4 linked regions of the Diceros bicornis minor genome follow. The protein of the gene in region 1 purifies or fractionates together with the protein of each later gene. This does not show direct contact. Links are inferred from orthologs where the notes say so. Each region holds a gene or a part of one and is shown on either strand. Other genes may lie near its edges. The genes, in order: PRKACA, A-kinase anchor protein 2, CDK5RAP2 and VAPA.

Region 1 (7,539 bases):
ATATGGAATCCCTGAATAATGAGGATCTGCCATAGCTGCTAAAAGACGCTCTCATCCAGCATCGCAGGGGCTGTCAGAAATGCAGACTTAGCGTGCACTAAAGTTTGAGAGCCTCCGCTCAAATCCACCCCCTCACTGTATCTCTGCTGCTCCCAGCCCAATCTAAGCAACCTTGTCCTCACAGCTGACTCTTCACCCCCTGTATCCCATCCACCAGCCAGCCCGTCTACTCCACTCCCCCACCAGGGCAGCTCCCCGGGCATGGGGTCCACGCGGTCACACAGGGCCCATGCGTGGGGTCATGTTCTGCTGTCGCTGACGGAAGTGGACTACTTTTTGAACACAGGGCCCATGTTTTCATTTTGTATGGGTCTCATTTTGCACCAGTTCCATAGCCGGTCCTGTCCGTGACAACACCCTGGAATCTGGCCACCTCTGTCTCCTCTGCTGCCCGGTCCAGGCCACAGTCCCCCCTTGCTCCCATCTCGGCTCCGCAGGCCACTGCGGTCTGAGTGATGCAGCACTCACCTCTTGCTGAATGTTCTTGCTTTTTCTCTCCCAGCCCTTAACTGGCCCACCAGGCCCTTGGTGGCCTGGTGCCACCTGCCCACCTGTTCAGCCTCATCGTATGCCACCCTCCCCACTACACTCACTACACTCCTCACTACACCTTGCTCACTACACTCCTCCCCAGCCCCATTTACTTCTGTGTGGCACCCATCACGTTCAGCATTTCACAGGCATTTACACAATTGATTCTGTCTTCCCCACTCGATGGAAAACTCCCAAAGGCAGAGACCATGCTTTGGGCTCAGTGGACATGTGTTGCTTGAGAAGCATTGTATTGCTGAGGAGGTGTGACTGCGGCGATGGATGCTAAGACCCAGGATGTGTTTCCCCTAGGCCGACGCCCCCAACCCGTCCCTCATCCCTGAGACCGACGCCGTGGGGGTGACTGTGGTCCTCATCACCTGCACCTACCATGGCCAGGAGTTCATCCGCGTGGGCTACTACGTTAACAACGAGTACCCCAACCCCGAGCTGCGGGAGAACCCGCCCCCGAAGCCGGACTTTTCTCAGGTGGGACCGGCTCTGCACCGCACCACCTTTGCACTGCTGGGGGTTGAGTCATTGAAACTTGGAGCCAAGGTCACTTCTTAAGGCTTTCAAGTAGTGCTCAGATCTTGCAGCGCCAGGCTAGAACGGGAGAGAGAAAGGTCTTGGTTTCTCAGAAGCACACCTTGCAGAATCAAGATTAGATAGGTGGCCCTAGACTGTGGGGTGGGCATCCCCGGGAGTGGCACACACAGCTGTGGTGGTGGTGGGATAAGCCAGCTCTGCTTGTCCTGGGGGAGCGGGGCAGGGGTGCCCTGGCTCCGCAGGAGTGATGAGAGGGCATGCTGACCAGGGTTGACGTTCCTTTTTCCGCCCAGCTCCAGCGGAACATCTTGGCCTCAAACCCCCGGGTGACCCGCTTCCACATCAACTGGGACAACACGGACAGGCTGGAGGACCCCACCCTGGGCTGCGGCCTCCCCCTCAGCTGCACTCCTGTCAAGGGCTTGGGTCTCCCTGGCTGCATCCCCGGCCTCCTCCCCGAGAACTCCATGGACTGCATCTAACTGGGGATCTAGGCCAGTCTCCTGGCACATCTGGAAGGGGCAGCGGGGCCTCCCAGAGAGTCCCCTGGGGGCCATGTGGAAGACTTGGGGGCCGTCAGCTACATCCAGGCCGGTTAAACTTGGCCCCGAGGAAGGAACAGGCCTCACGTCTCCCAGCCCTGGCCCAGAAGGATCATCTCACCTCTCCTGCCCAGGCCTGCAGAAACAGGTGCTTCAGTTCTTAGTTCTTTCTGACTGTCCCTTCCCTCTTCCACAGGCACTGTCAGTTCCACCTGCGGGTCATTGTGCCCCCGTGCGCCCGGGAGTACCATTGACCCAGAGCTCTTCCCACAGGCCTCCCTGGCCTGCTTTGAGGCTTCCTTGGTCAATGCCTGGCAAGGCTCTGGCCCTGTTGGGCCAAAGGCTCTGTCATTCATCTCCCTTCCCAAACTACCAAGCAGAATACACCCAGCTTTCTGGAGTCACGGGCAAGGAATCGTGGTTTGAAGGTAGACTCGGACACAGTTTCTGTCCTCCTGGAACAATTTTTAGGTCTTGTCAATCCAACAGCCCCTGGAAAACTCTGTTCGCAAAAGTGTGATCAGCAAGATGCTGAGGAATGATGGCTGATTTTCTCAGTGACAGCTACCTTCCTGTTACCTCCTAACTGGATCTGGCTTTCCCTGGAGGCTGCCACTGTGGGGAGATGGCATGTTAGAGGGGCCTTCTCTGCTGGTCTGTCTCAGTGTCAGCATCAGGGCCCCTTTGGGGGCCTTGCTCTGCCCTCTGCTAAGACCCCACAGGCCACAGAGTGACTACGGGCAGGGGAAGCACCAGGGCCCCTGAAGTCCCCCACCCCCACCAGGCTCCCTGCCGCGCCCCACCCCCTTGCTGCTATGTGGATGTTGTTGTGGTTGCAGTTTGTACATTAAAGGGTTTTTATATTAAATATGTTTGGTTGGTCTAAAAATAAAAAGCATTTGATCTAGGCTGATTGTTTCTGCTTCTGTCTTGGGTGGGCTGAGACAGCCTTGTCTACCTCTCCTCCTGACGTCGGGGGCCTCCTGCCCCAGCCAGTGAGTTGACTGCCCCATCCCCAAGCTCAGCTTCTTACTCGAGTCTTACTTGGTTGGATAGTTGTATTCCAGACTGAGGTTCCGGGGTGGGGTTTTTCTTTGTCAAAACCTAAGCAACCCAGCTGTTCTGTAGATAGAGCATAACCCGTGACTTTCCAGACTTTGACCTTGACCCCCAGGAGGGAATTAACATCTGTGCTCCAAGGACAGACAGCAACACTCTTATTACGTTTTACTTCACCTTTGTAACCCCACAGCCCAAGTGGGAGTGGTTTGGCTGGTGACCCATTTCCCCATAATTTACAGAGGAGCCCCACTCTTCCCTCCCTGAGACTGGCGAGCCTAGGAAGGTGGGTTCGGACAGCTTCTGGGAAGGGTTCGGGTTGTAAGTCTATAGGCAGAGCAGGGAATCAGCTTGCAGAGCTGAGCCCGGATAGCCCCTCCGAGTCAGGGAGAGCTGGCTCATCCCGTCCCCTGCCCCTCTCAGCACCTCCTGTTTGGGCCCTTGTCTACTTCAGTGGTTCTCTACTGAGGGCAGTTTTGCCCCCAGGGCACCTTAAACTATGTCTTGAGATGGTTTGAGTTGTCACAACTGGTGCCTGGTGGACGAGAGGGAGGTTCTACAGGGGTTGAGTGGGTAGAGGGACCGGATGCTGCTCAACACCCTACAATGCACAAGACAGCCCCCCAGCAAAGACTGATCCGGCCGCAAATGTCAGTAGTGCGGCGGTGGAGCCGACGTCCTCAGGCTGTGTGTGTATTAACAGGGTATCCTGAAGGAAGGGGCATCTTGCTACGTCTCTGCTTGGGGGGGAGGTAGTTCCCTCTGCTTTGCGCGGATGGAGAGTATCCTCAGCCTGACTGAGCCCCACGTTCTTCATCTGTAAAACAGGAGTGATGATACCAGTACCTGCGGGACAGGAGTGTGGTGCGAATTACCAAACGAGCGCCAGCTCTTACTGCTGGCCTGAGCCCAGGGTGGGCGCCCAGCACAGGGAGGGACACTGAGCGCCCCCTCCCAAGCCCCCTTGCTCCCGGGGCCCAGCATCCTCCTGAAGCTCGGGCTGCGGCTGGGGGAGCCCCAGGAACCACCCCCAACCCCAGCCTGAACCCCGGGCCTGCCGCTGCCCTCCTGCGCCAGGCCTTATCAATGACGACGGCCGACGGCCCGGCGACCTCTGACCCGCGGCGCCGGCCGCGCCCCTCCCCCGCTGGCAGGTGGACAGTGGCTGCGCCGGGGGGTGGGGGGGCCGCGGCGCCAACCTTGGCTGGCCGGCGGCCGCTGCCGCACTGGGCGGGGGCGGGGGACTGCGGCGCGCACGGGGCGGGCGCCCGCCGGGACCGCCCACTCGGCCTCGGAGCGCCGCGCGGCCGCCCGCCAGCCAGCCTCGGCCGCCCCGCCCGCGGCCTGGGCAGCAGGCTGCGCGTCCGCCCCGCCCTCTCACCCCGGGATTGACACTGAACGTTCTGCCAGGGGCTTGCCGGACTGGGCGCCTCCGCCAATTGGCGGCCTCGCTGGGCGGGCCCTGGGTCCTGTCGGGCACCTCAGCCAATCAGGCGCGTCGGCCCGCCCAGCTGAGGCCTCGCGAGCGCGCGAGTGGCCGGGCGTCCGCGGCGCGCGTCATGGGACCGAGAGCCTATGGCGGCGCGGGAGGGTCGCGGAGAGCCAATGGGCGGGGGCGCGGCGCCGTCAGTCAGGGCGGCCTGGACCAATGATCGGCGGGCTGCGGGGGCGTCACGGACAGCAGCAGCGGACTTGGGCTGAGGTTCCCGGGCGGGCGGGCGCGGAGGGACGCGGGCAGCAGGGGCTGGGCGGGGGTCGCGGCGCCGCAGCCAGCGCAGCCAACGCGAGCGGCCGCCGCCGCCGCTGCCGCCCAGCGCGCTCCGGGGCCGCCGGCCGCCGCCAGCACCCGCCGCGCCGCAGCTCCGGGACCGGTCCCGGCCGCCGCCGCCGCGATGGGCAACGCCGCCGCCGCCAAGAAGGGCAGCGAGCAGGAGAGCGGTGAGTACCCGGGCCGTGACCCCGATCCTGGCCCCGCGCTGCCAGCCCCCACCCTGTCCATCACCGCCTGGCCCCTCCCCCCACGCGCCCCCCCATCTCTCTCCGCTTACCCCCCAGCGCTCCTTCCTCCTGCCTGTCCAAGATTGGGGCCCAGGGCCCCCAGAAGACTCCCGTAGGAGCCCCTTTGCCGAAGGCCGCCCCCCACTGCAAAGACTGTGCCCCCCCACCCAGCTGTCACTGCCAACCATGGCACGTATGACCGCTGGGGCCTCGCATGGGAGCCTGTCACCACCCCACCCTCTCCTTTCCTGGCCCCTCTCCCCAGATTCTAACCCCCACTTCCTCACTTTTCCCACAGATGGGACCCACTGCCAGACCCCGACCCAGACATCTACCAGTCTGGGAGTGCTGTGGGGTCTGCCTCCACCCCACAGGGACCTTGGCCACTTGGTGACCACACCCCTCCCCCCTCCAGCCCCCGCCATCTTTCTCCTGCCCTTCCCCTCTTCACCTTACCACAGCCCCCCTCCAGACCCACTCTGCCCCCCTTGAGCATTTCCCAGAGCCACCTCCAGTATTGTTTTTCTCTTCTGTGTCACTTGGCATGGGGGACAGGATCTTTCTGGGTCCCTCTGCCCCTCTCTCATCCTGTCACTCTGCTTCTCTGCTTGTGCTCCCTTCTCCAAGCAAGCGTCTGTCCCTGGCTGGGGTAGCAGACTGTTTATGAACGTAGAGAACCGCATCAGTTCTTCCAAAGCCAAGTTTGAGCCGATCTTGCTGGGATTCATTGCGTCCTCCTTGCTGGAGTGGGGTGGGGGGCGGCAGCAGAGCCCCTTCCCATCTCCTGCTGTGCAGTGAGCTCTAGGATCCTTGGAGGCCCCTCAGTACATGGTTGTTTCACAACTGAGGCTCCGTCATTCACCCAGTCCCCCGGGCTTCTTCAGCCGCTCCTCGTCCGGGATGAAAAGTGGGAGATGAAGAGTGTGTTTTGCCAGACTTATTCAGCTTGAGCTGGGATGGTGAACCGGGGGACTTGGGGTGGCAGTCGGGGACAGCAGTGGGTGACATCTAATGGGTTGCTTTGCCAGGGGACAGATAGATTCTGATCACTCCCAGAGCTCAGCCAGAGAGAGGCCTGTTTCCGCCTCAGCCCCCAAATTATGTTGGCCTTTTCCAGCCAGCCAGAGAAAGAGATTCTGTGTCTGGAAATGCCTTCAGAAATGGCCTGGAGCCCCTTCCTCAGTTCCTCCAGCTCTTAAATTGTCATCACGCCAGGCCTAAAGCTGGACCTAAGCTAGGATCCCCTTCCCGTTACTCAGAAAGTCAGAGCCAGCAAGGAAGCCACGTCCAAAAACTCTCTTCCCAGTTGCTGGTCTCAGACCCCAGGATCTGAGTGTCCTGAATGCTCCCTCCCAGAAAGACCTGGGCATGAAAGCCAGGGGACTTTATTCCCATACAGATTCAAATGGCAAACCTCAGAGTCGCCAGGCAGGCATGGGGAGGCCTGATATGTCACCGATAGGCGGGGGCCGGGGAGGCCAGTGCCTGTAGCTGAGTGCTTGATGACAGAGGAGCAGGTGGGTAGTGACCAAAAAAGGTCTCAGCATGAGCTTGGAGGGGACTAGGCTGGGGGGAGGGGCTGGGCCCCCAGCAGGTGAGGCCGGCTGGGAGGTGGAAGGTAGAGGCAGGCAGCTGTATATTGCAGTGGCTCAGTTGAAAGTTGGGGAGATGACATAGTTCTGGAAAACTTTCAAGGCGTATCAGACACATGTGGTCGGGGGGGTGGAAAGCCGCACAGGGAAAAGGATCCCCAAGAAAAAGATCAGAGGCTCTGGAAGGAACCGCTAATTCTCTCAGAGCGCAGGCCGGACACCCAGGAATGGAGCATCACGATGCAATAGAGCCCATTTATCTAGGATGTGCCAGGCTAAATGGGCTCCATAGATCTGTCTGCTCCAGTGATTTCCATAACGGCCTGTTACCAGAATTTTCCAAACGAGCTGAGTTTGACATAGATGATGTCACAGAGGCAGGATTCACATCCAGATCTGCCCACCAGCCAACTTCCTGGACCCCAGAATTTCCCAGCCCAGACATTCTCAAGCCACCTCCTCCCTGATTTTTACTTTACTCACTTATGTTTTCTTAATTTAAAATGAAAACTTTGACTCACTTTTGTCCAGATGTAAACTTTGATCTGTCCTAAGCAGTAATATAAATGAAATCATGAGCTTGCTGTGCCCGCTATATTTTTTCTGATACACATTAAAATACAACGTAACTAGAAAAATTAAACATACCTAAAATCATTTCCTGCCTTGCCAGTGGGACCCATATCACCCTTCGGGAAATGCCCTAAACTGTACTTCCTTCCAGAGTCTTGCAGGGGCTCTCAGAGGAGGAAATAGGATGAGGAAGGAAGCCCTTCTTTGCTTCAAAGCGCTGATTTTCTAAGGATGGAGTTACAAAATTTGCCCTCGGAACTGGGGCCGGGCTGGGGGCACGGGCAGTAGCTAGGCCAGCCTGCAGGGGGCACCTGAATTTCATCTCCCAGACGCCAGCCCTACTGGGGTAAGGAAAATGCCCAAGCCTTACTAGGCACCAGTTAGGCATTCTGCAGCCCCCTGTGCTGCCGTCTCGGAGCCAGGGCAGGACAGCGTCGGCCCCCTCCTGAGAGGGTGGGGATCTAGAACAAGCGCTGGGGTTGAGAAGGGGGAAATCTGTACCCAAAGATGCCAAAGCCATTGGCAGGGGCCCGGGTAAGATGCTAAGAGGGTAGAGAAAAAAAGACCAAGCCCGGGCTCTGAGCAAACTGGAGGAATTGACAGAGGGCAGTGGCCCCGAGAGGCCCCTGGGACAG
Region 2 (7,561 bases), on another chromosome or scaffold:
CTATAAACTACTGGTTTGTTTTTTCTATTAGGTAGTTGGTAATTTTCTTATTGATTTGTAAGAACTCTTTGCATATTAGAGATAGTAACCCATTGTTATATATGTTGCCAATATTTCCCCCAGCTTGTTTCTTTTCTTAGATTTTCAGTGGGGACTCTGGTCCCATGGGGATGCCCTTGGGATTGGGAACTGTTCCTAATTTTCCAATGACCTCACTTAGTGCTTGGTGGGAAAGCCCCACAGATCTAGGGCTTTTGATTTGATGTGGGCTAGCCTTTTTTTTTTTTTTTTGTGAGGAAGATCAGCCCTGAGCTAACATGCATGCTAATCCTCCTCTTTTTGCTGAGGAAGACCGGCTCTGAGCTAACATCTATTGCCAATCCTCCTCCTTTTTTTCCCCAAAGCCCCAGTAGATAGTTGTATGTCATAGTTGCACATCCTTCTAGTTGCTGTATGTGGGACGCGGCCTCAGCATGGCCAGAGAAGCGGTGCTTCGGTGCGTGCCCGGGATCCAAACCCGGGCCACCAGTAGCGGAGCTCCCACTTAACCAGTAAGCCACGGGGCCGGCCCCAATGCAAATTTTATTTTGTTTATTTATTTTTTTGTGAGGAAGATCAGCCCTGAGCTAACATCCGTGCCCATCTTCTTCCACTTTATGGGGGACACCACCAAGCATGGCCTGACAAGCGGTGCATCGGTGTGCACCCGGGATCCGAACCTGGGCCGCCAGTAGCGGAGCGCGCACACTTAACCGCTATGCCACGGGGCCGGCCTGGGCTAGCCTTTTAGTGTTGATTTTGTTTGCTTTTCCCTCTTATTCTTTTTTTTTCCCTAGCAAACCTTTATTTTCTGTGGGACACATTTAGCGCTTGAGGATTACACCCCGCTGATGCTCTTTGGTCTTTCTCCTTGCTAGAAGGAGGCAATGGCAAATTCTCTTTTATGATGGGCCAATCTTGGCCCCTCCTTTGGGTTTTCAGATCAGCTCTCTGAGCCACTCATGGGTGTTTTTTTCAGCTTCTACTCTAAGCTTGGGGGCATGTGGCTACTGCTAAGCCATTAGTTGCTGGATTTGGTTCGTTTCGCTCAGTTTGGGGAGAGAGAAAGAAGAGGCTTTGTCAATCTGTTTCTAGGCTGACTCCTTTCCCAGAAACTTAACTTTCACTCTTGGTGTTTCTCTAGTAAGTACGTTCTATTTCTTAAGTGCCCCGGAGGCCACTCTTACTCAGGGGCATGGTTTAGAGTGGACCAGCAGCCCAGCAGAGGCCACAGGAGCAAAAATGTACACTTAGGCCATAGTGAAAGAGATTCTGATCTCCTCCCCTGCCAAGCAAAATTTCCGTAGAAGGTCCTGTGTCCTAGGTGGGGTAGGGCCTTTGGGAGCATTTACCATTTACACATCCTGGCTATGTTCTTGTTCACAAAATTAGTAGCCTTTTATTTGCTTCAAATGTGCTTCTGAAGTGCATCTAGGAGACTAAATGTGCTTCTTTCATAAAATATTCTCAGCTCTAATAACCATGATCATGTTAAGAGACATACGACGTGATGACCCCGTAAACATGCATTGGGTAAAGCCAGCCTTTCCCATCTCCTGTGTTTCTCACACTTCCATATTCTTAAGAATCACCTAGAGCTGTGAAAACAATTTCCCTAGCCCTGCCCCGAGAGATCCTGACTTAGTAGGTAAAAGTGGAGCAGGAATCTGCATTTTTAATAAGCACAGAGGTGGTTCTGACATCTATAGTCCTTAGTACTGGCTTTGAGTCCAGGGCAAGATAACTTGACCTCAGCACTACTGACATGTGGGACAAGATAATCCTTTGTTGCTGGAGGGTGTCCTGTACACTTTAGGATGTTTAGCAACATCTCTGGCCTATATCCATTAGATGCCAGTAACACCCCCTCCCATTATGACAATTAAAAAATTCTCCAGACATTGCCAAAATGTCCGAGGGGGGGCGGGGCGGAGGGGAGGACTGTCAAATCACCCTCGATTGAGAACTACTGACCTGAGGGAAAATAAATGAGAAAATGTTAATTAAAAACAGTTTTTACTTTCACATGCAGATGCTCATACTCCTGCATTGTTTTCATTGAACAAATTAAACAGGGGCTGGCCAGGTGGTATAGCTGTTAAGTTCCCGGGCTCTGCTTCGGCGGCCCAGGGTTTGCAGGTTCGGATCCTGGGCGGGGACGGACGCACTACTTGTCAAGCCATGCTGTGGCAGGAGTCCCACATATAAAGTAGAGGAGGATGGGCAGGGATGTTAGCCCAGGGCCAATCTTTCTCAGCAAAAAGAGGAGGATTGGCAACAGATGTTAGCTCAGGGCTGATCTTCCTCACAATAAATAAATAAATAAATAAATAAATATTTCTCAGCACCTGGTATGTACCAAGGCTTTTATATTAAAAATGTTTTCTTTAATCATAGCTATCTCTTTAATATCTTATAAGATGGAAGAAAGGGAAATGTTCTTGTAAATTAATATCTATTGAACACGCATTTTTCCTAAATTAATATTCTCGGTAGTTTTCTGTGGGGTAAACCAGAACTTTAAAATTAATATGACCAGAAAATTAATATTAACTAATTAATATTAAAATAATATTAAATTAATGTTAATATTTACATTGACATTGCTTTAGGAAAGAAGTAATTCAGAATTGTCAGTGTAAATTGCTGTGCTCTTTCTAATAATGAAATTTGATTTGTAAACTTTACACTTATTCTAATTTAGGAACATATGAAGAAAGAGGATGATGTACCTGCCATAACGTGATTTATAAAATCTCACCTTTGCCGTAATTTTAGAATCTTTCCTTGGAGAGACTATGGTCCATATAAATAAATGTGTGTACCCAGATGTGCTGATTTCAATGTGAGGTTTTCACATGATAGTAAAATGTTAAAAATAGATCATGATGTAGGGCACCCAAATATTTAACTCCTTAAGTCTGTCACATGAGAAGAAAGAAAGAGAGAGAGGGAGGGAGCGAGGGAGGGCGGGAAGAAGGAAGGAGGAAGGAAGGAAAACAGGAAAGGAATTGATTGAAATCTCCGGCCACTGGTCAGTAAATTCTATTGAAATTCAGGAGTGTGGGAGACAAACATACAAAAAAGCTGGTGAAACAGTTCCTAAATACCAAGAAAAAGAAGCCTATTGACATTCGGGAACCCTGAGGAGAACAGCTGATGTCTCTGTTGAAGCCTTTATCCCTGCCTTGAGTAAAGGTGTGACTAAATCTCAGGGTGGGAAAGAAGCCTTTTCTTGGCAGGGTACTATTTTTCATGTGTCACTAGCATGGACAGGCTTTCTGGGCAATTCCCGAAGATATTGTTTCTTCGTATTGGAAATCAAGGACTTTTGTGGATTAGGAAACAACCAGATCCTGGCAGTTGTCTTTCCCTGCTGCGTTTGGAATACAGAATTGACTCTCAGAAGAGGACCCAGGACCTTGGCCAGCGGTTCAGAATAAGGGACTCGGACGTGCAAAGCTGGAGAGAGAGAATCGCTGCGAAAAGGAAAACACTGATCATGCCTAGCGGAAAGTTGAATTCAAGAAATCTGACTTGTTATTTTCCTTTGCAGAGAAAGATTTTACTTGCTTAAACTGCTGTTTTCTGTGTGGGGTGCTTCTGTGTGTGTCCTCTCTCAGGATTTCTAGACAGTCCATTTTCGAAGGGTCATTAACATTATTTAAATATTCATGGTGGGGGAGGGAATTACAGACTGAAATTTCAGACAGCTGGGGAGTGAGGGATGGCTGGCCACCCGCGTAATCGAGGCCCACGCGGTGTATCCGCTGCCTCCTTCCCCACCGCTGGCTTTGTTAACACACGCGCTTTGACACCAGGCCAACGGCTGCTACAACGGAGAGGCTCTGAAGGCTCTGGCGAGCCAGTGAGCCGGAAGCATCCCTGTCCACACCTCAGCCTCTGGACTACATCAGGGTGGGGCACAAAACACACGGAGACCCCGTCCCTGTCACCAAGACGCACCTCCCAACCGCTCCCAGCGGTCCTACTTACCCCGGGACAGTCGTGATGCTGCGTAGGGGATGAGGGACTCACTCCCCCCTCGGGTAGGAATTCAGCAGCTCCTGGCGCTGTGAGCGCACACACGCATCCACACACTTCCACATACATTCATATGCACGTATGTATACACCAACACACACGTCCACATGCACGCACGCCGACACGCCCACCGTGCGCTAACACAATCCCACATACCCAGACACTAGAGCCCTCTCCCAGTTAGGAAATACTCGGCTTCACTTGCCCGGTGTCTTCAGCCCCCCAACCCCCCATCCCTCCATCCCTCCAGTCTATCCATTCATTTATTTCTTGGTTTCTTGGTTTGTGCATAGATTCCACCCAAACCACAGAGAGGTGTGGATGGTAGGGGAGGGATGTGGAAGCCGAGGGGCGGGCCGCGGGCGCTGGGCGCCAGGAGCGGGGCGGGGAAGGGGCGGACCCCGGGGGCGGGCGGGCGGCGCTCCCAGCCCTCCAGCGGGCCCGGCGGCCGCGGCGCTCGGCAGATGCGCTCGCCCCAGCCCGGGGCTGCCGCACGCTTCTCCCCGGAGTGTCTCGGACGCCCCAGGGAGGAGGCAGTGGCCGCGTCGCGCTGGAGCGGAGCCCGAGGACTGCTCCCACGAGGTCCGGCGCCTAGAGGTGGGTGTCCCAGGCTGGGGCGCGGCGGCCCCAAGCACCACGTCCTCGGGGCCCCCTCCTGGAGCTCAGGCCCCGGGCGTGGGGAAAGGGTGGCCTGGGAGGGACTCGAGATCTGGGGAGCCTTCGGAAGCAGCGCGGACTTTAAAGGGCTTTTATGGTCCTTGCCTAGCGGAGCGAGTGCGGCGAGGGGGCCTAGCTGGAAAGGGCTGTGGCCATGTGGCTCTGAATTCTTAGGTTTGGGGGAGGGCCAAGTCTTTGGCTGCTTTATTCAATACTTACTTATATACGCTTTAAAAAAAATAAACTTAGGAAACCCCCTGCAACACACACACACACACACACACACACACACACACACACACACACACAGAGCTGGGCTGTAGGAAAAGCAGTGGACATCAAACGGCCGTGGCCGCCTCTCCAGAACCGGAGCCGCGGTGGATGGAGCCACCAGTTCCAGCTCGCAAGGTAGGCGCGGGTCCTGCCTCCGTAGATGGCAGCGCTGGAGGCGTTTTGGAAGTCAGGAGCTTTGCAGGGAGACTGAGGCCGGGCAGGGCCGGGTCCCCGACCAGGCGGAGCCTTTTCGGACTGAGGTGCAGAGGTTGAACTCGGGAGATGGTGCAGGAGGAGGGAGCAGCCCCTTCTGCGCGGGGAGGGTGGGGGGTCCGGGTCCGAGTTGAGCCTGGAAATTTGGCCTGAGGCTGGGACCCCAGTTGTTAGGATTTGGCGTTTTACCCCGGGTAAAGCCAGAGGATACGTCTCTTTGGCTCCTTTGTGGGGACACTTTGGGGGGTCGAAGGGGCGGATCGTGGTGGTGAGCGCTGGGCAAACTGTGCCTGTAATCCCAGTGGAGATGGTGCGCCCGCTGGGATAGGAGCGACGAGATACTGGCGGCCCTGAGAAATTCTAGAGAAACGTAGTGGAGGCCAGGGGACTGAATCCGGAGTCCGTGAGAGCCGGGAGCCTGGGAGTCCGCGGAGGGAGGCGGGGCGGGCCGGGGACAGTGGCGCTAGGGGCCGGCTGAGAGCTGAAGGCAAAGGATGGCGCCTGCAGAGGGGAGCGAGACGGCGAGCTGGACCCGCATGAGCCGGCCGGGCAGCCGGGTTCCTGAGCGCCCCTGCACTGATGCGAGATGCCCGCCAGCCCTGGGGATCCCTCCCCAGTCCGCAAAAAGGGGGCGTCTGGGAGGGAGATGACTCGCTTAGAGAGACGGTGGATTCTCTCTCCAGACCCGGTAAAGTCAATTTCCCGCGTTGGGTGATAGTAGTTTGGCTCTGATATGCTGTGTGGTCAGACTTTGACAAATCTGTACCCTTCCCTATAGCAGTTTTAAGTGCAGAGCCATTAATTTGGACAAACTTCCTTTTTTTTCCCCCTCCTAAATGTATTTACCTTTGAAAAGAGACTAACACGCACGTACACACACGCACACACACACACCTCTATACATCTCTCTATAGAGTATATCTTTGAGTCTGCCAACACCTTAATTTCTCAGAGGAAGCGCCTTTCGGTCTTAACGCACGTTCACAGGCACCTGGAGGCCGAATCAGAACAAACCCACCACTCACGGTTGTAATCCCAGAGGATTTGTTCCCTTGGCTTTGTTCTAATTAAAGAGAGTTCACTTCAGCATGGCACTTTTCTTCCTGGAAATGTTCCCAATTTCATTAAACACTCTCTCTTTCTCCCAGTCTGGCAGCCTCCCCAACATTGATCAATAAAATTTCAGAGTAACATGTCTAGAAAGGAGGTCTATCCAGTAAGGAGTTTACTCTGTTTCTTTACACATAAAGCCTTTTAAGAATTAAAACTTGCCTTAAAGCACCTTCTACACGGCTGTCCACTGCCAGCTCTCTCCTCCCCAGTTTTGGCACAGGCTCTTTGCTTAAAGGGCATCTTCTCCTTTGAGTGGACATACCATGGGTCTTGTGGGCCCTACAGTTATTTTGAGCTGCACCGATAAGATTAGTCATAAGCCAGGAAAAACGAAAATAATCCTGCTTGGATCTCCCTGGCCCTTACCTAGCAGACGGTGCAGTTGTCTTGAGTCGTTTCTCTGGCAGTGGAGTTCATTTCAGTTTCTTTCTGGGGTGCTGAGGTGCTAGCACGAGATGGATGGCTGGGCTTTGAGATGGTACAAACAATTTGAAATACCCGTTATTTCATAGTTCTGGCATGACGGTTGGCACTGCTCCTGCCTGCAGAGTTTAGGGTAGTGTTGTCAGAATTTATTTCACTTTCATAAGTGGCTCATTCTGACTCATTAGCCTCAGGAACTCTGACTAATAAAGTGAAGCAGGTTGCCTTTACTTAGTTATCAAGTGAGGGGAAGATGATCCACTGGTTGTTCTCTTTCTCAAATTTTCAATATTTTAGTATAGAATTAATATATTAAATGTTACTTTTTAAAAATGCAAACGCTGGACTTTCTAGTTAATTTTTATAATTATTGTCTAGATACCATCCTTATAGATTTGGAGGACTCTTAAAGCACCCATGTCCCAGATTTCTACCACGGTTGTCGTTACAAGTCTCATTAAGTTGTCATTACTTATTAGGGTAATGAGAAATGTTTCAAATAAAGATGAAATTGAATTCGGATGGAGGTCGTGTTAAGGGATTTTAATAATTGAAACAGGAGCATTTGAAAATTTACTGCTGAAAACCAGGAAGTGGTCAGTTCCATCCTTTAATCTTACACATTTCTCAACACGAGTAGAATTGATCTATCTTGAATTAGCTTCTGGATTGGCTGTTCTTTGATCTTGAGAAACATAGGAGTCCCCATTTGCTTAGATTATTGATCAGGGATCCTGTGCCAGCCACTGGAAATTTGGAGTAATTGATTAATATACTTATCAGGTTCAACAATTTTGCT
Region 3 (7,904 bases), on another chromosome or scaffold:
GTGTGTTGCCCTCTCTAGCTCAATCATCTACATCCTGTTTCCTTGGTGTGGAGTATTTCTCATTCCTCTTCCCACCTTGAGAAGATGTCAGGACTTGGAGTTAATTTGACAAACTGTCATTGAGCACCTACTATGGGCACAGCCCGGAGCTAGATGTTGGGCCTAGAAGGCATCACTAGCTTGGTAACACAGCATGCTATGGAGCAGACAGTGGGTACTAACTGGGAATTGGACAAGGGCTGCTGATAGCGAAGGCTGGCTGGGAAGAGTTCTTGAGAGAAAGGGGCAGGGTAGCACAAGGGATGTGCTAGAAATACTGCTGACCTTGGGATCAGACAGACTCGGGTTTGAATCTTGGCACATCTATGTATTAGATGGGCAGCTTGGCCAAATCTAGGATAATGTGTGTAACAAAGTAAATAATGATAGTGATAGGTTATAACTCATAAAATAAAGCAAATATCCACAAATCCATGCTGATTTAAATAAACAATGGAAGAAATGGGCAAGAAGAGAAAGTTCTTCCTTATAGTAGAATTCCAGTTAATAAATATAGATGAAATGATGAAAATAGGAAATCACCAATTGGCAAATACCACAGTAATAATTGTTTTGCGTAAGAATTATTAATGGGTGCTAAAATCAGTGGGCGAAAATTTGATGACAAAAAGGATATTTACATAGTCTTAAGTATCGCTGCCCAAGACTCTTTTTAATCATAAAAAAGCAGTAATTTTGGGGGGCAGGCCCTGTGGCTTAGCGGTTAAGTGCATGCGCTCTGCTGCTGGCGGCCCAGGGTTTGGATCCCGGGCGCGCACCGATGCAATGCTTGTCAGGCAATGCTGTGGCGGCGTCCCATATAAGGTGGAGGAAGATAGGCACAGATGTTAGCCCAGGGCCAGTCTTCCTCAGCAAAAAGAGGAGGATTGGCATGGATGTTAGCTCAGGGCTGATCTTTCTCACAAAAAAAAAAAAAAAAAGTAATTTTACCATGGAGAATCTTGGCAGACTCCACCTTAGCCAAGAGATCAGAGTTAACATCACTAATTAATGAGACATATTAACATCATCTTCCTCCTGATACCCTGAGAAGGGCACAACATCAGTTTTGTGGTATTCTTGCTCAAGTGCATAACCTCAATTTAATCATGAGCAAACAGCACATGAACCCAAATTGAGGAACAGTCTATCAAATAACTGGCAAGAACTTTTAGAAAGTGTTAATGTCATGAAAGACATAGACAAAGGAGCTGTCGCAGATTGAAGGGGAGTAAGAAGACATAACAACTAAATGCAACGTGGAATCTCAGATTGGATCCTGGGCTGAAAAAAGGGCATTAATGGGAAAAATGATTAGGTTTCAAGAAGGTCTGTAGTAAGTACTATTGTAATATAATTTCTTATTTTTGACAATTGTGCTATGGTTATGTAAGATGTTACTATTTTAGCAAGCTGGGTGAAGGCTATATGGGGAATTCTTTGCATTATTTTTGCAATTTTTTTCTGTCTGAATTATTTCTAAATGAAAAGTGAGGAAAGAAAGGAAGACAGTGTGGCCTTTGGCAAATCTCTTCCCCTCTCTGAACCTTAGTTTCTTCATCTGTAGAGCAGGGCAATCATCCTAATCTACTTCAGAGTGTAGTGAGGATAAAATGAAATAGTGCAAAGTAGCAATGTATCTGTATTGATCCTGTAAGTTATTCTTGCTGTTAATAATGGCAGCTCATGTGTCTTGAGCTGCTAAAACTTCAGGAGGGTTCTACCCTCATGAGAAACATCTGGCTGCAAGCTACTTCCTCCCAGCCATTTGAGATGACCTTACCCAAGGAATAATAATGCCAGCTTTGTGACTGGGTGGCTGTTGTCAAGGAGATGGTGCCAGATAGCCCAAACAGCTGGTAGTAGTGACGTCACTTCCAGGCTTGGCAGAAAGAAAGGCCATGGCGAGACAGAGACGGGGCAAAGGCCTTCATCCTTGACCATGAAAACAGGAAAAACAACTTCCCAAATAGCCTATCCTTTGTGCAACTGATTCTATTTTAAGTTTCTAGGTTCATTAAAGGGTTAGCACACAATTCTGGAACGTGGTCATTTGCTGAATCAGGCAATGGATTAATCATAAGCAGAACTCCTCCAAGGCTCTTTCTTCTTTACAGTTTCCAAAGTATCTAATTAGATAATGCAACTGTGTGAGCTCAGCATTGTCTGTCCCATTTCACACATGGGAAAACCAAGGAGGAGCGAGGGGAAGGGACCTCAGGTCACAGGATAAGATGGAAGATTTTCCAGAGTCAGAATCCAGGTGCCCAGACTTCCCATCCTGCAGTCCTACTCTCCACACTAACATTCACCTCATGGCCACCTTGAAGCAGTTGTCCAAGGAGTAGAGTCTGGTGAACACATCCCTGAAATACTGTTGTCTGGATGTAGACCTCACCTCTTGACCCTGAATTCTAAAGTGGAGGAAACCAAACAGATAGAGAAGACAGGCTGCCTAAAACAATTAGAGTGTTTGAGTTCGGTGGGACCTAGGCTCAAATCCCAGCTCTGCCACTTACCAACAGTGAAACCTTGAGCATGTTATTTTCACCTCTTTCAGCCTCAGTCTTCTCATCTGTAAGTAAAATGGGGAGAACAGTAGCACCTACTCCCGAGGGTTGTTGTTAGGGTTAAATGTGGTGGTGTATGTGATATGCCTGGCACAAGTGGCACATAAGAGATGCCCAAAATGTGTAAGTCCTCCTCCTTATTTCCTTTCTGAAGAGCTTTCACGTGCTGGATGAAAAGTTAGTTCCTTCATTTGGGAAGTAACGATTTGTAACTCAGTCTCCCTCACCAGAAAATGGTTGGTCGTGCATTAATAACCTTGAAATAAACACAAAGAAATCACCTCCAGAGCTGTGAGGTCCTGAGACATCCAACCAGCCCAACCCTCTTATTTCATAGGTGTAGAAACTGAGGCTCAGAGAAGAGGAGTGGTGTGCCAAAGATTGCAGAGTCAGTGGCAGAACCAGGGCTGGAATCCTGACACCCCAGCTTCCCTGCTTTTGGACACACCCATCTCATTGGTTGAACTTAGCACTGGCAAGGACTGTTGGTTCCCGGGCTTCGAGGACTGCCCTTCCCTGGGGCAGGGCATCTGGTGTGCCAACTGTTTCCTGCCCACTCTCTCTTTCAGGCTGTTATTTTATTGCTGATTCTGGAGGTGACTGAATATCCGGGGAAGGAAGAGGAACGGGCACAGGATCAAGAGCCTTGTAGCCTTCACCAAAGCTGAGAGAGAGAGAGAGAATGAAGCAGAGAGAGAGAGAACAGGATATATGGGATGACTATTGACTGAGCTACTAAAGATATCACATTGTCACAGAAACCTTGCAGGATAGGTATTATTTTTCATTTTCCAGATTGACTGAATCATTCATTCAACATATATATATATATATATTTTTTTTTTTGAGGAAGATTGGCCCTGTGCTAACATCTGTTGCCAATCTTTCTCTTTTTCTGTTTTTCTCCCCAAAGCCCCAGTACATAGTTGTATATCATAGTTGTAGAGTTGTAGCTCTTCTGCATGGGACATTGCCTAAGCATGGCTTGATGAGCAGTGCGTAGGTCTGTGCCTGGGATCCAGACCAGCAAACCTCCAGGCACCGAAGCGGAGCGCCTGACCTTAACCACTACACCACGAGGCTGGCCCCTCAACGTATATTTTTAAACACTGATTGGGTGGCAGGCACAGTGCTAGGTGTTAGGAATATAGCAGTAAACAATTCAGAACACAGTCTCTGCCCTCATGGAGCTTCCAGTCTAGTGCAAGAGGAGACATTAAAAAAAACACAAAAATATATAATTGCAAAATGTGGTAAGTGCCACAAAGGAAAAATACAGGTTGCTAAGAATACAAGAAAGGGTCTGATTTAGATTAGAAGATTAGAGAAGGCTTCTTTTGGAAAGTAACACTTAAATTGAAGAATGAGGAAACTGAGGATGAGGGAGGTGTTGTACGTGGTTACAAGGAAAGTCATCATCTACCCAATCACCCATTTTTTCAAGTTATTTTCATCCAGAACTCTCCGGACAGCCTGCAGAGGAAGGTAGTAACACTGAGATGGGGAGATGAAGGTTCATTTCATTGGCCAAGCTGCCAAAATTATCTAGGTGTTGGTGATTGCTTTGTGCTTTAAGAAAGGCAGTCAGGGTTATGCAGAGAGCCCTGATGTGGTTGGCAGGAGCCGGGGATCTGGCTCCAGTCCACAGACTTACTGTGCATGACTTTGGGAGAGTCATTTCCTCTCTCTGGGCCTCAGTTTACTGATCTCAGGTGCGTCTGAGCTTTAAAGGTAATAAAGGATCACTAGGTGAGAGATTGGAGAGGGAGTGTCGGTGACCACTTGGCTCATAGGGATGAATTTATTCGTTTCAAGCTAAGTGTGCAAATTACTGCTTGAGCTGGGATTCTGCAGGTAAGATTTTTCTAAAGCGAGGCAGCACCCGATTATCTGAGGTTCAACTCAAAGTGGAAGCCTTTTGAATGCACAGACCCTAAGGTTTGGGTCATTATTCTAGGAAAGCATACACCAGGATAAGAACTCTGAAGGTCCATGAGGGCCTGGATTCCCATCTCCCGCTTAAATTAACGGACCAAGGCCTGCCTTGGCCCTCAACAAAGATGGCGTCTGCCCTGGCCCCGGCCTCAGTGCCCTCACAAAAAATGGCAGCCGGGCTCTCTTTCCTTAGTGTTGCGGGCCCCAGGTCGGATGCTCTGCCCTTAGTTAAGATGGCGCCCGCCCGCGCTTCCCTGCCCGGCTTCTGGCCTCGGCCGGCCGGCTTCACCGCGCGCGCCGCGGTGACCCCGCCCCGTTTCCGTAGGAAGAAGCGCCGGGAAAGATGGCGGCGGCTGCGGTTTGAATTCCAGCGGTGCCGCCACAGTCCGAACAAGAGCTGGGTTGGAGGGGGCGGGACCTGGGGAGCCAGGCGGGTCGCTACATCGTGGGGGAACTAGTGCTGCCGCCGCCATAGACACCAACGCCACCACCTCCTCCGTGTCCAGGATGGACTCAGTGTTGGAAGAGGACGTCACCCTCCCCGGAACGCTCAGCGGCTGCAGGTGCGGCCCGGGCTTTGGGGGTTCGCGGTAACCGGGCCCGGGTTCCCGCTGATCGAGGGGTTCGCTCCAACGGAGACTTGGGGTCTGCTCTCGAAGGTGTTTGAGGGTTTCCGGACAGGGACAGTGTGTGGGGTGGGTTTCTGGGGGCGAGGCGTCTCTTTCGGGACCCACCAGCTGATACTGAGTGTAGGGGGCTGAGGGTCCGGACCTGCACCACACCCACCTTTCTCGTATTTCGGGACATACTTTGAAGAGGGTGTGAGGGACAGGTAAGGGGTTGTCTGAACGAGCGGGAGGAGGGGGGCCTTTTGCAGTGTGCCATCGGTGGGATCTGGTTGAGGGGCGGGGACCTGGAGGGTACTTGATGGTTTATTCTGGTTTGGGGGTTTGCATTCATTATGGGGAGTGTAGTTGGTCTGTCTAGACTTTGCTTATGGGGTCACATAGTGGCCACCAAAACTCAGGCAGTGGAGTGCAGTGGTTAAGAACCTTGGCTGGAGTTGAACAGAATTGGATTTAAATCCAGCCCTTGAAACTAACTAGCTCTGTGACCTTAAAGTCTCTTACCCTGCTTTCCCATCTGTAAAATGGAGCTAGTAGTAGTATCCACCCAACAGAGGTGGGATGAGGATTAGAAGAGAAGATGCCTGCCCAGCAATTCACTTGGCAAGTGTAATGCCTGGCACGTAGTCAGTGCTTAAAAAAATGATTCTGTGTTGCCATCATCATCATCAATAGTAATACAAATTGGGGAATAATGGCTGAGAGTGGCCTCCCAATGGACCTGTCCCAAGAGGCATTTGGAGTCCACATTGCTGGTGGGGCAGGGGTCTCTTCTGGTAGGAAGGCCTGACAGAGCCCTGCACTGCCCCAGGGCTGGGGCCCTTTGTTGTCCTGGCTCCCGGTTGAGTGCTCAGAAGGACATGGAGGAAAGCCTTAACTGAGAATCTGCAGTGTTTATCCAGCTGTGCTAGAGACGGGCTGCTTCTTTCAGTCAACAGACGCTAATTAAAAGGATGACCATGTATTTGTTGTGCAAACCGATACACTTGTAAGAGTGAAATGAGCACAATTAATATTCATGCCTGGATGGCAGGCGTAAACAAGTCCTATCTGGACAAGTGGTTAGTCTGTTTATTGTGTATCTACTGTGTATCAGGCACAGAGCAAGGCCCTTTGCAGCTCCTGCCTAAATTGGACCTGTGTTAGTTCATCATGTCTCTTTCTCTTCATCTCACTACGATGCCCCGATATATTGGGGTATGACCTCTCACCTTGATTGTCCTGGCTTCCCTCACACCCCTAATAGTCTTTTATACTATAGCTTGAAAACTCTTTTTAAAATGTAAATCTGGTTGTCACAGTCTGCTGCTTTATATGTGTAATGCTGCTCTTTGCCATTAAGATAAAAGTCCACTGTCGTTCTCTCAGGCAGCTTTTCTCATCTTGGTGCCGGTTGGCCAAGCACTGGGGCTTTGGGACCCAGACCTAGCTGGGTTTCAATCCCGATTCTGCCATTTAACACTGTGGCCTTGGGCAAGTCACTCACCCTCTGTGAGCCTCAAAATCATCTGTAAAATGAGTGAGTCTAAAAGAGTTTAGCCCGGTGTCTGGCCCAGAGTAGCAACTCCACAGATCATCACATATTCTGCCTACCCTCCTCTCTCTGCCTTTGCAGGACCCAGGTGCTGCATACATTCCTGGTAACTAATCTTTTACTCACCTCCTTCAGACCCTCCCTGGCCACTCGCCACCCTCAGGGTGAAGTTCTTTAATACGGCTTCCAAGGTCCTTCATACTCTGGCCCCATCTACTTCACTAGCCTCCTCTGCCCTTCCTTGTCTCCTCCCCAAGCCCTTCACTCTGCTTGGCTGCCAGACTCTTTGTAATGAACGATCTTGCCTTATTCTTTCATATTGTGGGGCCCTGGCACTCATGTTTCTGCTGCCTGGATTGCCCTCCCTTCTCCCTTTGCCTTATTAATGCCTGTTATTTTTCAGGTCTCAATTTAGGTGGCACTGCCTGGAAGCCTTCGCTGACATTCCCTCACCCCACCTGGGCCGTCTGTAGTCTTCTAGTCATCCCATTTATCACTGACCCTGTCTCAGCCCTGGATTTTATTGACACTAGCACTGTCCAGTAGATATATAACTTGAACCACATATGTAATTTAAAAATTTCTAGTAGCCACATTAAAAAGTAAAAACAGGTGAAATTAATTTTAATATATTTTATTTAACCAAATATTTCCATAGATTATCATTCTAACTTGTAAAAAACAACAGAAATTATTAATGAGATATTTACATTCTCCTTAATCTTACGAAGTCTTTGGGGTCTGGTGTGTATTTTATACCTACAGCACTTCTCAGTTTGGATTAACCACATTTCAGGTGCTCAGTGGGTACGTGGGCTGGTGGCTCCTGGATTGGACAATGCATCGTTAACTTGTCTGTGTCCCACTTTAGACGACGACCCATTTGAGAGCAGGGGCTGCATTTTGATCTTCTTTGGTACCCTAGTTCCTAACCTGGTATCTGGCTTACAATAGGGCTCAGTAACTATTTGTTAAATCACCGAATAAACAACGATCCTTTGAGGTGACAATATTATCCCCTTTCTACAGGTGAGGACACACTGAGGCTCATAGAGGTGAAGTGAACAGTCTGGGATCTCATGAAAATTATTTGATCGAGCCAGGATTTAAATCCAGGCCTACTGATTACAGAGCCTGGCTCTCAGTACCTTGGCCTGCTTTCCGACTAGTTTTCTGAGCCAATCTGAGAGGATTCTGGGA
Region 4 (7,717 bases), on another chromosome or scaffold:
TACCTATGTTCTTACAAGTATGGATAAAGTTGGGGAGTGATACACAACATAGCCAGTTAACACTGGTTACTCTAAGTGGAGTGGAAATTGTGAGGCATAGGAGGAAACTTTTTATTCACAGGCCTTTGGATTGTGTCACTGGTTACAATAAGCACATATTAATTTTACGATATAAAAGCTTAATAGAAGAGAAAACACTTCAAATTATTTTTCATAAACAAAGATTATTATTATTTTTTATAATTTTATTTATTTATTTATCTTTTCCCCCAAAGCCCCAGTAGGTAGTTGTATGTCGTAGTTGCACATCCTTCTAGTTGCTGCATGTGGGACGAGGCCTCAGCATGGCCGGAGAAGCAGTGCGTCGGTGCGCGCCCAGGATCCGAAGCCGGGCTGCCAGTAGCAGAGCGCGCGCACTTAACCGCTAAGCCGCGGGACCGGCCCACAAAGATTATTTATAGTTTTAACTGCTTTAAACGGTCATACGGACAAAAATCCCCAGGATAAGTCTTTTTTCTAACTCTTCTTCTTCCAGCCTTGACTTTATCTGGTGAAGCTTCCCTCTGCCTTCTCCTGGAATCTATATTTCTTACATAGTCTGACAAATGCTCTACAGTAAGCACCAGCAACACATCCACATTTACCAAGCATTGCATCCCTGTGATACTTCCTGACCCAATACATATTTCACTTGATTATCCCTCTCTCTCATAGCTATCTGTGTTAGGAAGAGCTCTTTGTGTGCAGTGACCCTGTTTCATCCACGTTTTACCCCTAGCACCCTGTTACTCTGTCAGGTGAATGGTTTCCAGTCCTTGCCTTATAGATGTCTACACCATTGACCTTCTTGATCCACTCTTAGCTTTCCTGACACCTCACTCTCTGCAGCATTCTAATATCACGAGCAGGAAGCAACATAATAAAGGGGATTAGGTGTTTATAAAATTTTGAGGAGAGGTAGAGGAGCAGACTCGAGACTTGGCTCTCCAGGAAGGGACTCCCAGGGCAAGACTGAACTGCTCCACCCAGCAGCTGCTGCCTCCGAGGCCGCACTTTACTTCTAACCCTAGGGATCAGGAAGCTGGACTCAAGAAAAAGCCACTGCTTCTGCTGACCCTGCAACAATTCCCTGCCTCTTGATATCCAGGAAGCTAGTCAATGGGCGCTGGAACGCTGCTGCAGAAAGCCTCACGTCTCTGTGCTCTTGCCTCAGCAGAAAAACAGCCAGAAGGGGCAGAAAGCTGCCTTCCAACTCACTTCTAACTTTCCAATATCACATGAGTGTAACTCACTGGTCAAACTTATTTCAAGAGCAGAATCATAGCTGCAAAGGAGCTATTTCACGTTTGTTTTTCCTACTTGAATGTAAGTCTCTAAAGGCAGAGACCACGTCTATTGTCTCACCACTACATCACCTACCACAGTGCCGGGTGCACAGCGATAATTTAACATTTAACGTTAATAAGGTAATAGTACTAGAACCAGTCACCATTCTAAACTCTTTGTGTGTATTCTCATTTAATTCTCAGAACAAACTTTAGAGGTACATACAATTATTCTCCCCAATTTACAGATAGACACGGAGAGGTAAAGTAAGATGCTAAGACCACACAGTGGAAAATGGGACATGAATCCAATGGTTCAGATCCAAAGCCTATACTCTTACTCAATATGCTTTACTGCCTCAATATTTAATAAAAGTATGCTCATTTAAATGTTTACTGAATTGAATTATGCAGAGAATTGATCATAAACAAATTCATAATTACATACAGAGCACCTCTGTAGTTAATATGTTTAACTATGGAGGAGATGGTTATACTTTGTTGCCATTTGTACTGGCAAATTTTTTTTTGATCCTTGCCAAACCCATTAGAGATAACCTGTCCAAAGATGAATACTGTTAGTTATTCAAGTAGGTTAAAGTAATATTCAAGGCCTTCATACCTCTTAGACTCATGAAAACTTGGTAGCTGGAGAAATATGGTTAAGTATATATTTTTTGCTAATAGCTTAAGAGACCTTTATGTGCTGCATTAATCAATGTGAAAAGAGTAAACAGTGAACATTAGGTCCCACGTTTCTCCATTCCTAGCTTAAATGTTAAGCATAGATAAGTCAATTACATTTTAAATAGCTGCCTTAATCACTTTCAGTTATCATTTTATTGTAGTTTTGGGAAGAGCAAAAATGCAAAGAACGGAAAATTGGGCAACTCCTCTCCACCACATTTAGCTCTATTACTGACATGACATGCTTTCACCTGTGTTTTCATTTCCATATTTAACAACAAAAGTAACACTTGCTAACTGTTATAAGGTTGTTCTGAGTAGCATGTGATGATGTTTGTAAAGTTCTTTGAACTGCTAGAAGAAAGGTATTAATAAGTACCAAAGCACAAACCACTTAAATAGTCCACTATTCAATGGGGAGTAGAGGAGTCAGGAGGACTCTGAGTCATTATTAAGGCAACACTTTAAAATTGTAATAGGGGCATTATTCGAAAGATGTTTTGTGTATTCTTAGACTACCAGATATTTAAAATCTTACAGATTTTAAGCCTATATCTATATAATTTTCAAAGCAATATTGAGAAGACAAAAATTTGATTCCAAAGGTGATGACTCAAATGGGCAGAGGTTTCTCAATGATACAGACTGGGAAACTGGAATTCTACATCCAGTTCAGGCTTCCCATTGAACTCATGGTGAATGGGCAGCCATTGTCCCATAGGGGAGTGACTGGGAACTTCCTCAGCATGCTATACCACTAACTGGCTGTTTGCACACTGGGGACTGCCAAATGCTTTCTGGTAAGAGAAGTGTCCATCTAGCTGTGGAGGAGACAGTTCAGCCAAGGCAAACTTGCCCGTGGATAAGAGCTCTTAGGCAAGCAAAAAAACCTGGAGTTTGTGACCGCTCTAGGGTTGTCAGTTCACAACTAAACATATGTGGGACACCATCCTGTGGAGTGATTGTCAACCTCAAATTTTTTTTTTTTTTTTTTTTTGCTGAGGAAGATTGGCCCCGGGCTAGCATCTGTGCCCATCTTTCTCTATTTTGTATGTGGGACATCTCCACAGCATGGCTGGCCAGTGGTGTAGGTCTGCTCCTGGGATCCCAACGTCTGGAACCTGAGCCACAGAAGCCGAGCATTGTGAGTTTAACCATGCCACTGGGCTGCCCCTGCAAGAAAAAATTTTTTTTAACCTTAAGCCCCCTCTTGACAAACATGCAATTTTTGCATTCTCCTTTTATTGATCATTGAATTTTCAAAATAAATTTTGTGAATAAAAAGAAATCAAAGGAATGGTAAATTTAGAACACGCTTTTCAGACTGTTTAAGCACTCCCATCCTCCAAGGTTTTCATGGCTGAAGATACACTGCTCTTGCCTAGCACAATCTTCTGTGAATGCTACGTTAGCTATTCCGAAGAGCTATACCCAGATGGGCTCTGAACCTGCATTGCACATGAAAACTTGGACTTTGTGCCTAAACCTAGACTATTGTTCCATTTGTTTCATTTATTTTCTCGACAAACTGGGCTGCTTATTCGTCGCAGCAGCATCAATATGTCCTTTGTTTTGTGGTGCTTCCTAGGGATATAAATTCAAGGAGTGCTATAAAGGTTTATTTACAGCACATTCACTCGTGTTATTTGATCTTTCTGTCCCTGATTACCCTGGCAATCGGTTACAGATTTGTCAGCAACTTTGCTCATGGGATTTTTCTCATTTGGTTCAGTTTACTACAGGCTACCGTAAATGATGCAGATGGAACCCATTTTCAACATGTGAATGTGACAACTGTTTTGGTTTGGGTCTATTCTTAATCAAAACTGAAGAATAGACCCTAGCAACTGAAGGCTGTAGATTTTGATTTTTATTTCTAGCTTGATACGTGTCTTGTCAGATTTCCCCAACGACGCATCTGCTTCTTAAACAAGGTGTTTCCTCATGTGCTTTTGCATCACTGGAGAGATTCAGGAAGCAGGCGAGGTTGGACTGGAATACGACGGAGAATTTAGCTCCACCATCAGAGGGATGGATAGAATTGGAGAGCAAACTGACAAATCCTGGCATGTTTTCCACAGGGTATATTTTATATTTCTAACCAGGGACCTCGGGTCAGTCTCCGAAACTTTTTGTTTTTCTTTTTTAGCGCAGAAGAGACGCTCTGAGCGCCCAAGGGAGTGTCGGCGCGCCCACCCCATTCGCCTGGCGCAGATCCCATTCGCTCCCACGGACCCGTCCGCCTTCCCGCCCGCCGACAGCCACTAACACCGCTCCCGGCAGCCATCGCGCAGGGCCGCACACGGGCCGGGCGCGCACGGAGCATGCTGGGAGTTGTAGTGAAGGAGCCCAGCCACGCCTTCCTTCTATCAGGCATTCCCGCTCGGAAGATCGTAATGCACTGCCCATAGCGGGTTCTCCAGTTTCCTAATCCAATCTAAACGTGACCGAGGATTGCGCCCTCCTGCCACGAAGCGCGCACCGCGTGGGCCCCACGGAGCTCAGTCCCTCCCCTGTCCCCACCCGATCCCTTGACAGCTGCGCCGCGCTCCGAGCGGCGGCCAGGCCGAAAGCGCGCAGGCGCACCAGCCCGCGCCACGCTGGGCGGGCCGAGCGCAAGCGGCCCCGGCGCCGGGGCGCGCACGTAGGCACGCAGAGGCCGTCACGTGGGGCGCCGAGGATCGCAGTGCGCGTGGCCGCGGCGGCTGGTGTGGGGTTGAGTCAGTTGTGAGACCCGGAGCTGCGGACCCAGCGGGCGGCCCGGCGCCCCGCGAGAGAGCGGCGGGCGTCAGGGTTCGGGAGCCGTGAGCTGGCCCCTCGCAGACCTCGGCCGAGCCGGCGCCGCTGTCCCCCACCCCCAGCCCAAACCGCCGCCGCGGGCGCGCCCCCGCTCTGCGCTGTCTCCAATGGCGTCCGCCTCCGGGGCCATGGCGAAGCACGAGCAGATCCTGGTCCTCGACCCGCCCACAGACCTCAAATTCAAAGGTAGGCAGGCAGAGGGCAGCCCCGGGGGAGCGTGCGGGAGCTCGGCGCCGGGCCGCGGCCCCTCCCCCACGCCCGCACCTCGGCTCGCGGCGGCGTCCCCGGGCCCGGCCCGCTTCCCCCCTCCCTCCCTCGGTGCCGCCCGGTGCCGCCTCGGTGCCCGGGGAGCCGGGGGCCCAGCCCGCCGCCGCCATCTTGCGGGCCCGCGGGCGCCTCCCGGTGCTGCCGCGCTGCCCGCGCCGGCGCTTGTCCTTGGCCCGGGCGGCGGGCGGCGTCCCGGCGGGCGTGGTGGGCGGTGACCGAGGCCTGGCGCTCTGCTCGGCGGGGAGGGGCTCGGGGGGGCGCGAGTGCCGTGGTTCGCCGTCCCGGACTCGGTTCCGAGAGAGGGCCCTCCGGCCCCCGCCCGCGCAGAGCGCTGCTCCCACCTTTTCTCCAGTTGCTAACTTGGCTGTCGGGTCCGTGAGCGCGGGAGGCGGGGAGCCGGGAGGTCCTCCGGTTCTGGCCTAGCCGGGCGTGCGGGCAGAGACCCGCGTGCGGCGGGGCAGCTCGCGGCAGCCGAGGGTTTGTGGTAGGTCACTAGTAGACGGCTTCCTGGGCCTCTGATGGCACAGTTCAGCTCACTTTCCGCCTAGGCCAGAGCTGCTATTCGTCGACCCTTGTTTCGCCCCTTGTCGCTTTGCTTTTTTGCTGCGGAATCTTCACTGTTGGTGATTTCTGCCTTTACGTTTGAGGTTTCCCAATAAGCCCCGGAGAAGGCTGATAGTTGTCACTCAGCTCTGGGACGCCGTCGATTTACTTTGTAGCAATGCCCGTGGTAAATTAATAGTCTGACTTGGTGAGCCTTGAGGAATCTAAGGGGCTGTTTGGCCCATTTGTTTTCGGTATGTAGGGTAGTTTAGGCAAGAGAGTTAAACTGAGCAGGTTTCTGTTTACGAATACTTAAAGTGCGTGAAGATCCTAAATAGAAAGCAGATTTCTCCGTGTCTTCAGTTAAGCATAAAGTGAGTCGCCGTTTGGAAGATTCAGTATCTTGTATTTCAATTTGGGTAGCTATGATGAGAACACTTTGTGAACTGTGTAGCCATTCCAGTGCTTAAAACAAAATAAATCCTTTATTGTTGTACAAGACTGAATCCAAAAGAAAAACACTTAGATTGTTTTCCATAGGAAAAGGTAATAGTTTTAGAAATTTTAAAATAGTATTTTCTGGTATTATGAGTGTATTTTATAGCTCCTTTATTTTGAAAGCTTTTTACTGCATTTGCAGATTTCTTTGAGTGGCATTGTAAATGAGCTGTTTGTTAGGTAAGGATTTAGTTTTAAGACAACCCTAAGAAATAGTTTGAGAGGCATTAAGAGCATTTTAGTGTGGCAAGTTTATGTGTGTGGCATGATTTTACATAATTTTAGCTGAAAGAAAAAAATACACCTTTGGGGAATCATGAAATTACCTAACTTAGCTATTATCTTAGGTTTGAGGAATTTAATGTAAACCTTTATGGTATATGTGTTCTTTTGAGAATTTAAGTACTTTGCTTTTACTTTTTGACAGGCTGTTTTACAGAGGAAATTTCCACTACTGGATAACCATTATCTGGGACTTAGAAGCCTTTAAAACCAGTTTTAGGCCAGGAAATGTCCACAGAGTTTGAAGCTTTCTCCCTAGAGAAGTTGTAATGTTGCTGTAGTAAAAGACTAATAATAGCGGAGAAGCAGGTTAAAAAAACAACCCAAAACCCTACCCAATGACATATCCATATATTTCACCTATTTTAGGTATTGAAAAATTAACTATGATTATAGAATAGGTTCTTGTATTATGGGTGAAAGTAATTCACAAGGCACATTTTTAAAAGTTTGGACATCAATGACCACCTTTTTAAATTGACTTTAAAAAAGTGTTTCGTTGAAAAGTTCCTAGGGGGACACATTCACTTGGGCCATTTATTTAGCGAATACTTTAGCTTTGTGCCATCCCTATATTTGATGAAGAGTATTCAGCAATGAATAATTCATTCAACAGGTATCAGCTTATATTGGGATTCAGTGGTAAACAAGGTGGAGAAAAGATTCACAATTTGTGATTTAATGGGGAAAGCATACAATTAAACAGGAGTAAAATGTGTTAGGTTTTATCTTTGCCCTTGAAGAACTCCGAGACTAGTGAGGGAGACAGAAAAGGCATCTAGATGCTATAACAGAGGCAAACCGAGTATAAGGAAAGAGTCCTTTTCCTCCTCATTCCTCCTGCCAACCCCCTCCCCTTTACTTTAGGAAGCTTTCTGGGAAGAGGCTCCTTTTCAGTTGGGGAGGGGAGAGGGTTTGGCCAGGGAGTGGTTGTGTACTTAGTAACCACTGATGTGAGAGAATGTATGGTTTCTCCTTAAATACCCAGTGGGTTGCTGTGTACTTCTATTTAAAGGTGGGGTAATGGGGAGGACTGGAAAAGAGGAGGGGTAGGATGAGTTAGGAGGTGACATTTGGAGTCATTTGCTTCCTTCCTCCTTAATGTTATTCTTTTAGTTCAAGATAGTTTGCTTTGATGGAAACCTTTCTGTATTCCAGTGCACAGTTCAACACTAAAATGAGGAGACTCATATAGAATCAACAATCTCCTTATGCTTAGTTTGATGGTGGTGTAAAAAGTCATTTAATTCTGACTTCCCCTAAATCACCTGTAATTTTTAGTTTAAGTAAAAGCCTGTTAAAGGATAGTTTTGCAA

The links.
Region 2: the proteins of PRKACA (region 1) and A-kinase anchor protein 2 purify together in Homo sapiens (affinity purification with mass spectrometry; 5 studies listed by BioGRID and IntAct, with this or other methods). This does not show direct contact. The link is inferred for Diceros bicornis minor from reciprocal best matches to the Homo sapiens genes PRKACA and PALM2AKAP2.
Region 3: the proteins of PRKACA (region 1) and CDK5RAP2 purify together in Homo sapiens (affinity purification with mass spectrometry; 6 studies listed by BioGRID and IntAct, with this or other methods). This does not show direct contact. The link is inferred for Diceros bicornis minor from reciprocal best matches to the Homo sapiens genes PRKACA and CDK5RAP2.
Region 4: the proteins of PRKACA (region 1) and VAPA purify together in Homo sapiens (affinity purification with mass spectrometry; 4 studies listed by BioGRID and IntAct, with this or other methods). This does not show direct contact. The link is inferred for Diceros bicornis minor from reciprocal best matches to the Homo sapiens genes PRKACA and VAPA.

The regions. Positions count from the first base shown.
Region 1 is NC_080769.1:3,624,098-3,631,636, forward strand, and holds the start of PRKACA (cAMP-dependent protein kinase catalytic subunit alpha), read left to right. Parts: upstream 1-4,525; 5' UTR 4,526-4,633; coding exon 4,634-4,679; intron 4,680-7,539. Other genes in the region: histone chaperone ASF1B, read left to right, coding at 904-1,080, 1,434-1,622.
Region 2 is NC_080767.1:18,858,271-18,865,831, forward strand, and holds the start of A-kinase anchor protein 2, read left to right. Parts: upstream 1-4,558; 5' UTR 4,559-4,680; intron 4,681-7,561. UniProt on the Homo sapiens protein: Binds to regulatory subunit (RII) of protein kinase A. May be involved in establishing polarity in signaling systems or in integrating PKA-RII isoforms with downstream effectors to capture, amplify and focus diffuse, trans-cellular signals carried by cAMP.
Region 3 is NC_080767.1:27,771,802-27,779,705, reverse strand, and holds the start of CDK5RAP2 (CDK5 regulatory subunit-associated protein 2), read left to right. Parts: upstream 1-4,903; 5' UTR 4,904-5,051; coding exon 5,052-5,107; intron 5,108-7,904. UniProt on the Homo sapiens protein: Potential regulator of CDK5 activity via its interaction with CDK5R1. Negative regulator of centriole disengagement (licensing) which maintains centriole engagement and cohesion. Involved in regulation of mitotic spindle orientation.
Region 4 is NC_080755.1:7,892,394-7,900,110, forward strand, and holds the start of VAPA (vesicle-associated membrane protein-associated protein A), read left to right. Parts: upstream 1-4,700; 5' UTR 4,701-4,918; coding exon 4,919-4,997; intron 4,998-7,717. UniProt on the Homo sapiens protein: Endoplasmic reticulum (ER)-anchored protein that mediates the formation of contact sites between the ER and endosomes via interaction with FFAT motif-containing proteins such as STARD3 or WDR44.